Linked DNA regions of Arabidopsis thaliana. The protein of the gene in region 1 purifies or fractionates together with the protein of each later gene. This does not show direct contact. Each region holds a gene or a part of one and is shown in the gene's direction. Other genes may lie near its edges.

The links.
Region 2: the proteins of CYCB1;3 (region 1) and AT5G46780 purify together in Arabidopsis thaliana (affinity purification with mass spectrometry, with the first as the bait; one large-scale study listed by BioGRID). This does not show direct contact.

What each region holds. Positions count from the first base shown.
Region 1 is NC_003074.8:3,625,165-3,628,921, reverse strand, and holds CYCB1;3 (CYCLIN B1;3), read left to right. Parts: upstream 1-1,648; 5' UTR 1,649-1,782; coding exon 1,783-1,822; intron 1,823-1,983; coding exon 1,984-2,354; intron 2,355-2,433; coding exon 2,434-2,535; intron 2,536-2,627; coding exon 2,628-3,214; coding exon of another isoform or gene 3,215-3,272; exon of another isoform or gene 3,273-3,302; coding exon 3,303-3,447; 3' UTR 3,448-3,636; downstream 3,637-3,757. Other genes in the region: AT3G11530 (Vacuolar protein sorting 55 (VPS55) family protein), read left to right, coding at 1-121.
Region 2 is NC_003076.8:18,977,152-18,980,781, forward strand, and holds AT5G46780 (VQ motif-containing protein), read left to right. Parts: upstream 1-1,801; 5' UTR 1,802-2,084; coding exon 2,085-2,798; 3' UTR 2,799-3,032; downstream 3,033-3,630. Other genes in the region: AT5G46770 (uncharacterized protein), read left to right, coding at 343-744.

The sequences.
Region 1 (3,757 bases):
CATCTTAAGGCACGCACAGATGATCGAGACAGGTGCAATGCTCATAGAGTTCACATCATTCTTCATATTCATTTGCACTGTCATGTGTTTTCACCGGGCTAGTCTCGATGATGACTGGTAACGTAGATGTTGCTGCTCGTGAATTACTAATTGGATTCGTATGAGAAAGAGAGTGTGAAGAAAAGATGAGGTTACTATGAGTGGTTAAGAAAGTTGTGTTCTTCTCCCTCTTTTTGTAAAGCTTTGTATCACTCAATGTTTGTAAAAAGTTTTATTCATCACTGTGAATCTTTTCCTGAAACTAAGTGCCAAAATATTTTGTTTCGCATGTTTAGGAAAAAGTTTAATTCATCATTGTGAATGTTCCCTAATCCCTAGATTAGCTTCGAGAGATTAACAAAGAACGGTTCAACTGTAACACGTGGTCATGAAATAATGTCCGAAGGCCCTTCAGATAATAAAAGCCCATGAACTTCATAAGGGTAGAAGCGTAATTTTAAAAGAGACCCCTTTCATATATATATCCTTGCGATTATTATTAGCCGTCATCGTCTAGGGTTGGTTGTTCTGCAATTTAGTTTTTTTTTTTTGTGTTTTTTATAATCTGCAGCATCGTTTCTTGTAATCTGAGGAATTGTTTTTCAGACTGCACGATCGTTTAATTTTGTTACGTTGGTTGTTTCTTTGAAGTGAAAAACGGCGAGGGATGATGATTCAATTAGATGTGCGAATGGTTTCATCATGAGCTCAAAAACTTTATTTGGCATTTTATAATCTGACTTCGCCGTCAACTCTTTTTTCTGTAATTTGGAGGAATGGTAAATGGATGATGATTCAATTAGATGTGCGAATGGTTTCATCATGACCTCAAAAACTCTATTTGGCAATTTATCTGACATCTCCCATTTCTCTATGTTCAATCCAATATATCTCCTTTATGTGGTTTTAACTCGATATTGTTTTATTGTCTGCGAAATGTTTGATAATGATGAGTTAACTTTTATAGAGTGTTACATAATTATTTTACTTATTCATATTGTAGTTACGCCATTGAAAAACAGTTTGATTGTTTATCTGTTTGGAGTTTGCGTTGATATATGATGTTTATCCCTTTTGTAATGATGTGACTTGCAAATTGCTATGTAACCTCAAGATTAAGCATAGAGTTATTTATTTCGAAGTTTACTAAATTGCATTAAGTAATTTTGTGGCCTTGTGATTTAATTAAGAGACCCATGTTCATTGGATAAAAAGCACTATCTTACAACAATGGTATATTAATAAAGTGAGAATGCTACCTTTCTTGTAAGGTGGTTCATATAAAATATAAATTCAAACAAAAAACGAACGACCAATCTTTAATCGTTTACATGAACTGTGGTGTGCTAATAAGGTGATAACAATATTTAAACGTTGCTTTGACTCCCTTAAAAAAGAAAAGAAAACCAATTATAGGAAGAAATCAAACTCCAAACTTGTCACTAATGGGAAGAAATAAACCAGTAATTAAAACTCGGACCTTGTCATTAAGTGTGTGAAAGGCGTGAATCTTCACAATCCTATAAGACAAAACCTCCTTATCCACCGTTAGATTTAAAGTTCATCATCCAACGGCTAGAAGTCTAATCCCGCTAATAATTTGACCGTTGCGATTATGCTTTTAATGGCTCCTCCTCTCTTCTCTATCCCTTAAGCGCTCTCTCTCAAATCTCAATCATCCTTCTTCTCATCTAGAAACCCCTTATCTTGGAGTAATCAGAGAGTTTGAAAACACCAGAAATCATGGCGACAGGACCAGTTGTTCATCCTCAACCAGTTAGAGGTTTGTTTCTCCCCTCTGATGAATCTTTGTTTTAACTCTAGGATCTGCATAAAAACTCTCATCTATGAATCCTTTTATTTAGATGTTATCAAAGATTGCTTACAAATCTGTTTTCCAAGGATCCAAATCTTGATAGGTTGCTTTTTGTTAAAATTTATCAGGTGATCCCATCGACCTCAAAAACGCAGCAGCAAAGAATCGTCGTGCTCTTGGCGACATTGGAAACGTCGATTCTCTTATTGGAGTCGAAGGAGGAAAGCTTAACCGCCCCATTACTCGTAACTTTCGTGCTCAGTTGCTAGAAAACGCACAAGTTGCAGCCGCCGCTAACAAAAAGGCTCCGATTCTTGATGGAGTTACTAAGAAACAAGAAGTTGTAAGAGCGGTTCAAAAGAAAGCAAGAGGTGATAAGCGTGAGCCGTCAAAACCAATCGAAGTGATTGTGATAAGTCCTGATACAAACGAGGTTGCTAAAGCTAAAGAGAACAAGAAGAAAGTGACATACTCTTCGGTTCTTGATGCTCGAAGCAAGGTAGATTCTTTGTTCAACATTGAAAGCATAATGTGCAAAGTTCTGATTATTTGGTTTTGTGATTGGTGTACACACTTAGGCTGCTTCTAAGACTTTGGATATTGATTATGTCGACAAAGAAAATGATCTTGCTGCTGTGGAATACGTTGAGGATATGTACATTTTCTACAAAGAAGTTGTGGTACACTTACAGTGAAACCTTCTTTTGTTTATGCTTATGGATAAGTTATGTGAATGTCTTCTTTAAGTTTGTTGTTTTGTTCTTTGTTGCAGAATGAGAGCAAACCTCAGATGTATATGCATACACAACCTGAGATTGATGAGAAGATGAGATCAATCCTTATTGATTGGCTTGTAGAAGTTCATGTCAAGTTTGATCTCTCCCCTGAGACTCTTTACCTCACTGTCAACATAATTGATCGTTTTCTTTCTCTGAAGACTGTGCCTAGAAGAGAACTACAGCTTGTAGGTGTTAGTGCTTTGCTTATAGCTTCGAAGTACGAAGAAATCTGGCCTCCTCAGGTCAATGATTTGGTATATGTGACTGATAACTCCTACAACAGCAGACAGATTCTAGTGATGGAGAAAACCATTTTGGGGAATCTTGAATGGTACTTGACAGTTCCAACACAGTATGTGTTCCTTGTGAGGTTTATTAAAGCCTCGGGTTCTGACCAGAAACTGGAGAACTTGGTTCACTTTCTAGCTGAGTTGGGTTTGATGCATCACGACAGTTTAATGTTCTGTCCTTCCATGCTTGCTGCATCAGCGGTCTACACAGCAAGGTGTTGCTTGAACAAGACTCCTACTTGGACTGATACACTGAAATTCCACACAGGCTACTCCGAATCTCAGCTCATGTTAGTCTTCTTAATTCTTTACACTAGCAAGTTTGTGATCATATTGTTTGTATATTAATTCTCTATGTGCGTTTCTGTGTGTAATCAGGGATTGCTCAAAGCTTTTAGCTTTCATTCACTCGAAAGCGGGGGAGAGCAAGCTACGTGGTGTGTTGAAGAAGTATTCGAAACTTGGAAGAGGTGCTGTTGCTCTGATTTCACCAGCCAAGTCTCTTATGTCATCTGCTCCATGAACAAGGCTTGAAAGATGGCTCTCTTGCAAACTCTGCATTTTAGATTCTCTATCTTTTATCGTTTTATATGTAAAGGTATTGGTTCTTGTTGAGAAATGATGTTTCCGTATGAATTCAAAAGTATTATAATGAAATTCTTCTTCTCTTCTATAATCAGAATCGTTTTGGTCCTTTTTCCCATCATATTCTTTAACTATGGAGTCAAATTCAAATTACATAGTTATCTGTTATAACTTGAAAACTTCTTTGTTCTTCATAAGACCAAGTACGATGGTACGATCAAGGTGAAGTTGTTCACATTTGTCAAATA
Region 2 (3,630 bases), on another chromosome or scaffold:
TATATATGACAACAACTATTGTTAATTCTTACAAAATTTGTCTTTGATTATAACCAACGACCAAAGACAGAAAACTCTCTCATTTCTATGAAGGTTATAGTTGTTAATTAACGTGTGAGGCGATATCCCTACTTACACATGCAACGTGTGTGTTACCCAAAATCGAATTTACAAATATACACTTTTCACTAAAATTAGATTAGTTCTCGTTAGTCTTTTACTAAAATAAAACAAGAAACATATTACTAACTAAATAAAACCATATAGTCTCTCTTTCTTCTTCCTTGTCTCTCTCTCGCTCATTATTGATCTCCATTGTCGTAAGGAGATCGCAAAAAAGCCATGAGCCTAAATTGTCTATCATGTCAAGCCCTTCCACGAACAGATTCCAACAAAGATGTTGATCTCTCCGGTCCTGGACCACCAAGGGTCGAGATTAACAATGTTCTAGGTAAAACATGTTGTGTAAATCCTATTGGTGGGAGAAATTGGTCAGGGAATTTGAGTCCTAGGATCTATGAGAAGATTGGACGGCCAGGATCGTCTTTAGCGCATAAGATGAAGAAGGTGAAAAAGATTCATCACGTTAGGCTAAGTGGTCCTGTTGGTTCTAGCCCTAGCAATGTACCAACCCGGCCGGAACAACCAAAGCTCGTAAGGAGCACTGGAGTCCGAAGGAATTGGAGTTTTGAGAATTTGAGAGATCAAGGATTAATAGAAGAAAAAAGGAAGATTAACATATGAATATATGATCAATGATTGATCATGATTCTGAGATTTTATATAAATGTGAGAGGATAAAGCTGATTACATATAGTTTCAAATCCAGATTCGTGATTATATAATCGTGATAGAATATGTGAGATGTATAATAGTATTATTTGGACGACAAAACGTTTCCATTGATTTATTACTTGTCACGTTTTGTTCTCTTTGAATATTTGTTTTTATGTTTCTTTTTTGTCTTTGAATGAAAACGTAATTTCATTAAAGTGTTTTGTTTCTTTTCTAAAATCGTTTTCATATCTGTTTTCGAGTTTCTTGCGTAACACGAGAGATCATCCTTATTGGTGGTATACTATTCCATCTAAATAGCCAAATTGCATAAGCAGTAAAGCTTTTGCTATCTTTCAGAAAATTATTAGTAACCAACAAAGCAACAAAAAATCAATCATAAGAGAAACAAGAAAACTTATCTCTAATTCTCTAAGAGTATTATGACTCGACTTAAAAGTTAAGTAAATCATCATTACAATTGGGCCTACTTTCGCACTGCGTAATTTCGAAATAATTAATACACAATTGACATGGCAGATTTTGTTTCGAATCGTCATGACATATACTTTTGTGGTATAGCTTCGTTTCTTTAATCGTTATCCATATCGGCATATCGCTATATAGTACAAACTATACCATTGCAATACAAGATATACGGTTTTAACAATCACACCAATCATAAAGTAATATCAACGTTACTAAAACAATATTCTCAGCTATTTCACATCGCTAGTTTAACGATAAGAGATGTAACAGTTCTACAATTTTTCGACGATCTATTAGATTATCAACACTTGTATAATCAACTTTAGTCTGATCAATCGTAGTAAAACCATGGTATAAAAAATACGACTCCTAAATAATCAACTTTAGTCTTTAGTCATATTATAAACACTAATCCTCAACTTGTTTACGTATGTATCCTAAATTCCTAATTTTAATCCACTTGTTGGTTGTATCTAGTAAAAAATCGAATAGTTATCAGAAACTAGTTTTAAATTAAGATTTAACAACTTAATGGAGAGAAAAAGAGAGACAAAAAGTCAAAGTTTCTTTTTTAAAGCCTCTTGTTTTGTTCTTCTTCTCTTGTTTCTTCTTTTCCAATCTTCATTTTTCCAGTCAAATTCAGAAAACGCGTAAGTTCTCTTTCTCGTTAAAAGGGTTTGTTATAAAACCCTTGATTTTACTTGTTTTAGAGAGGTTCTTGGTTTAAATCTTCTTGTGGTTTAAGTCTTTGTGGTTTCTCTAATATTTTCTTCCCAAGATTTGGATTTGCTCTGTTTTGTTTGTTTGTTTCAGTTTTAATAATGGATGATCAGAGTAATCGTGGTAATGATAATCATAATAATGATCATCATCATCATCATCTTGGTGTGAATAAGATGGGAAAAAACATTCGTAAAGATCCACCAAACCAACAAAATCAACAACAAAACCCTCAAGCTTTGGTTTACAACATCAACAAAACCGATTTCAGATCCATTGTTCAGCAGCTAACCGGACTCGGTTCAACTTCTTCCGTCAATCCTCCGCAAACAAACCATCCAAAACCTCCAAATTCACGGTTGGTTAAAGTTAGACCGGCTCCTTTGACCCAACTCAACCATCCTCCACCTCCACCTCCACCTCCACCGCCGGTTCAATCAGTTCCAATTGCATCTGAACCGGTTCAGCCTGTTAACCAATTTTCGAGTAACCCGGCTGAATCTCCCATCTCGGCCTATATGCGTTACCTAATCGAATCAAGCCCTGTCGGAAACCGAGTGCAGCCACAAAACCAAAACCCGGTTCAACCATCAACCGGTTTATTTCAGTCACATCAAACCGGTCCTAATCCAATGTCGTTCCAGTCTCCAGCTTCACAGTTTGCTTTGTCACCGCAGCCAAGATCACCATTTCCTTTGTTCTCACCCAATTTTGCATTTTCACCTCGGTTTTTAGGCGGTAGTAACGAATCGCTACCACCGCCATCACCGGGTTTTTTCTTTCCATTGCTTAGTCCATTATGGAAAAATCAATAGTTGAATATAGTAGCAGTGTATTAATAATCCTGATGGTGGATTAAGTGCTCCAAGTTGTAAGCATTATGTAATTTGAAATAGCTAGAAAGAAAATTGCTCATTTCATTATGTATTTGACTGTTGATAAACTAAGGCCAATATCGAGATTCAACATCAATGTGTTAATCGTTTTTTTTATCCTCATGATGAGTTTAGATGCAATTTTGTTTGGGTTGGCTGATTTTATAACCATAAACTAATTGCATTCTCAGCTTTTACCTTAACACTTTTTGCCTCTTAAATTTCCACCATAAACTTTGATAATTCTTTAAATTACAACATGTACTTTCAGATTCATCCTTAAACATACATTTCCAATTGAACCAGTCATTAAACCGGGAATAACCACAAATCCGCGTTTACTGTACCGCGATTGCGATTTACTCGATTACTCACCTATATCCGTTAAGAAAAGGGTTGACTGATTTTATAGCCATAAACTAATTGCATTCTCAGCTTTCCCCCCTCCACACTTTTTATTCCTAAAATTTTCACCATAAACTTTGATAATTCTTAAAATTGCAACATGTACTTTCAGATTCATCCTTAAAAATATGATTTCAATTGAACCGGTCATTAAACCGAGATTAACCACAAATCCGCGTTTATTATACCGCTATTGTGATTTACCCGACTAATCCCACACCCGTTAAGAAAACGACGTCGTTTTGTCTTTGTTTTATAATGTGAATCTATCTATATATGTTATGTGTTGTGTTAATTGGTAAGGAAAATGACAAATCGAACTAGATAAAACTTCTAATCATAAGGATAGATAAGACTCCAAATCAAT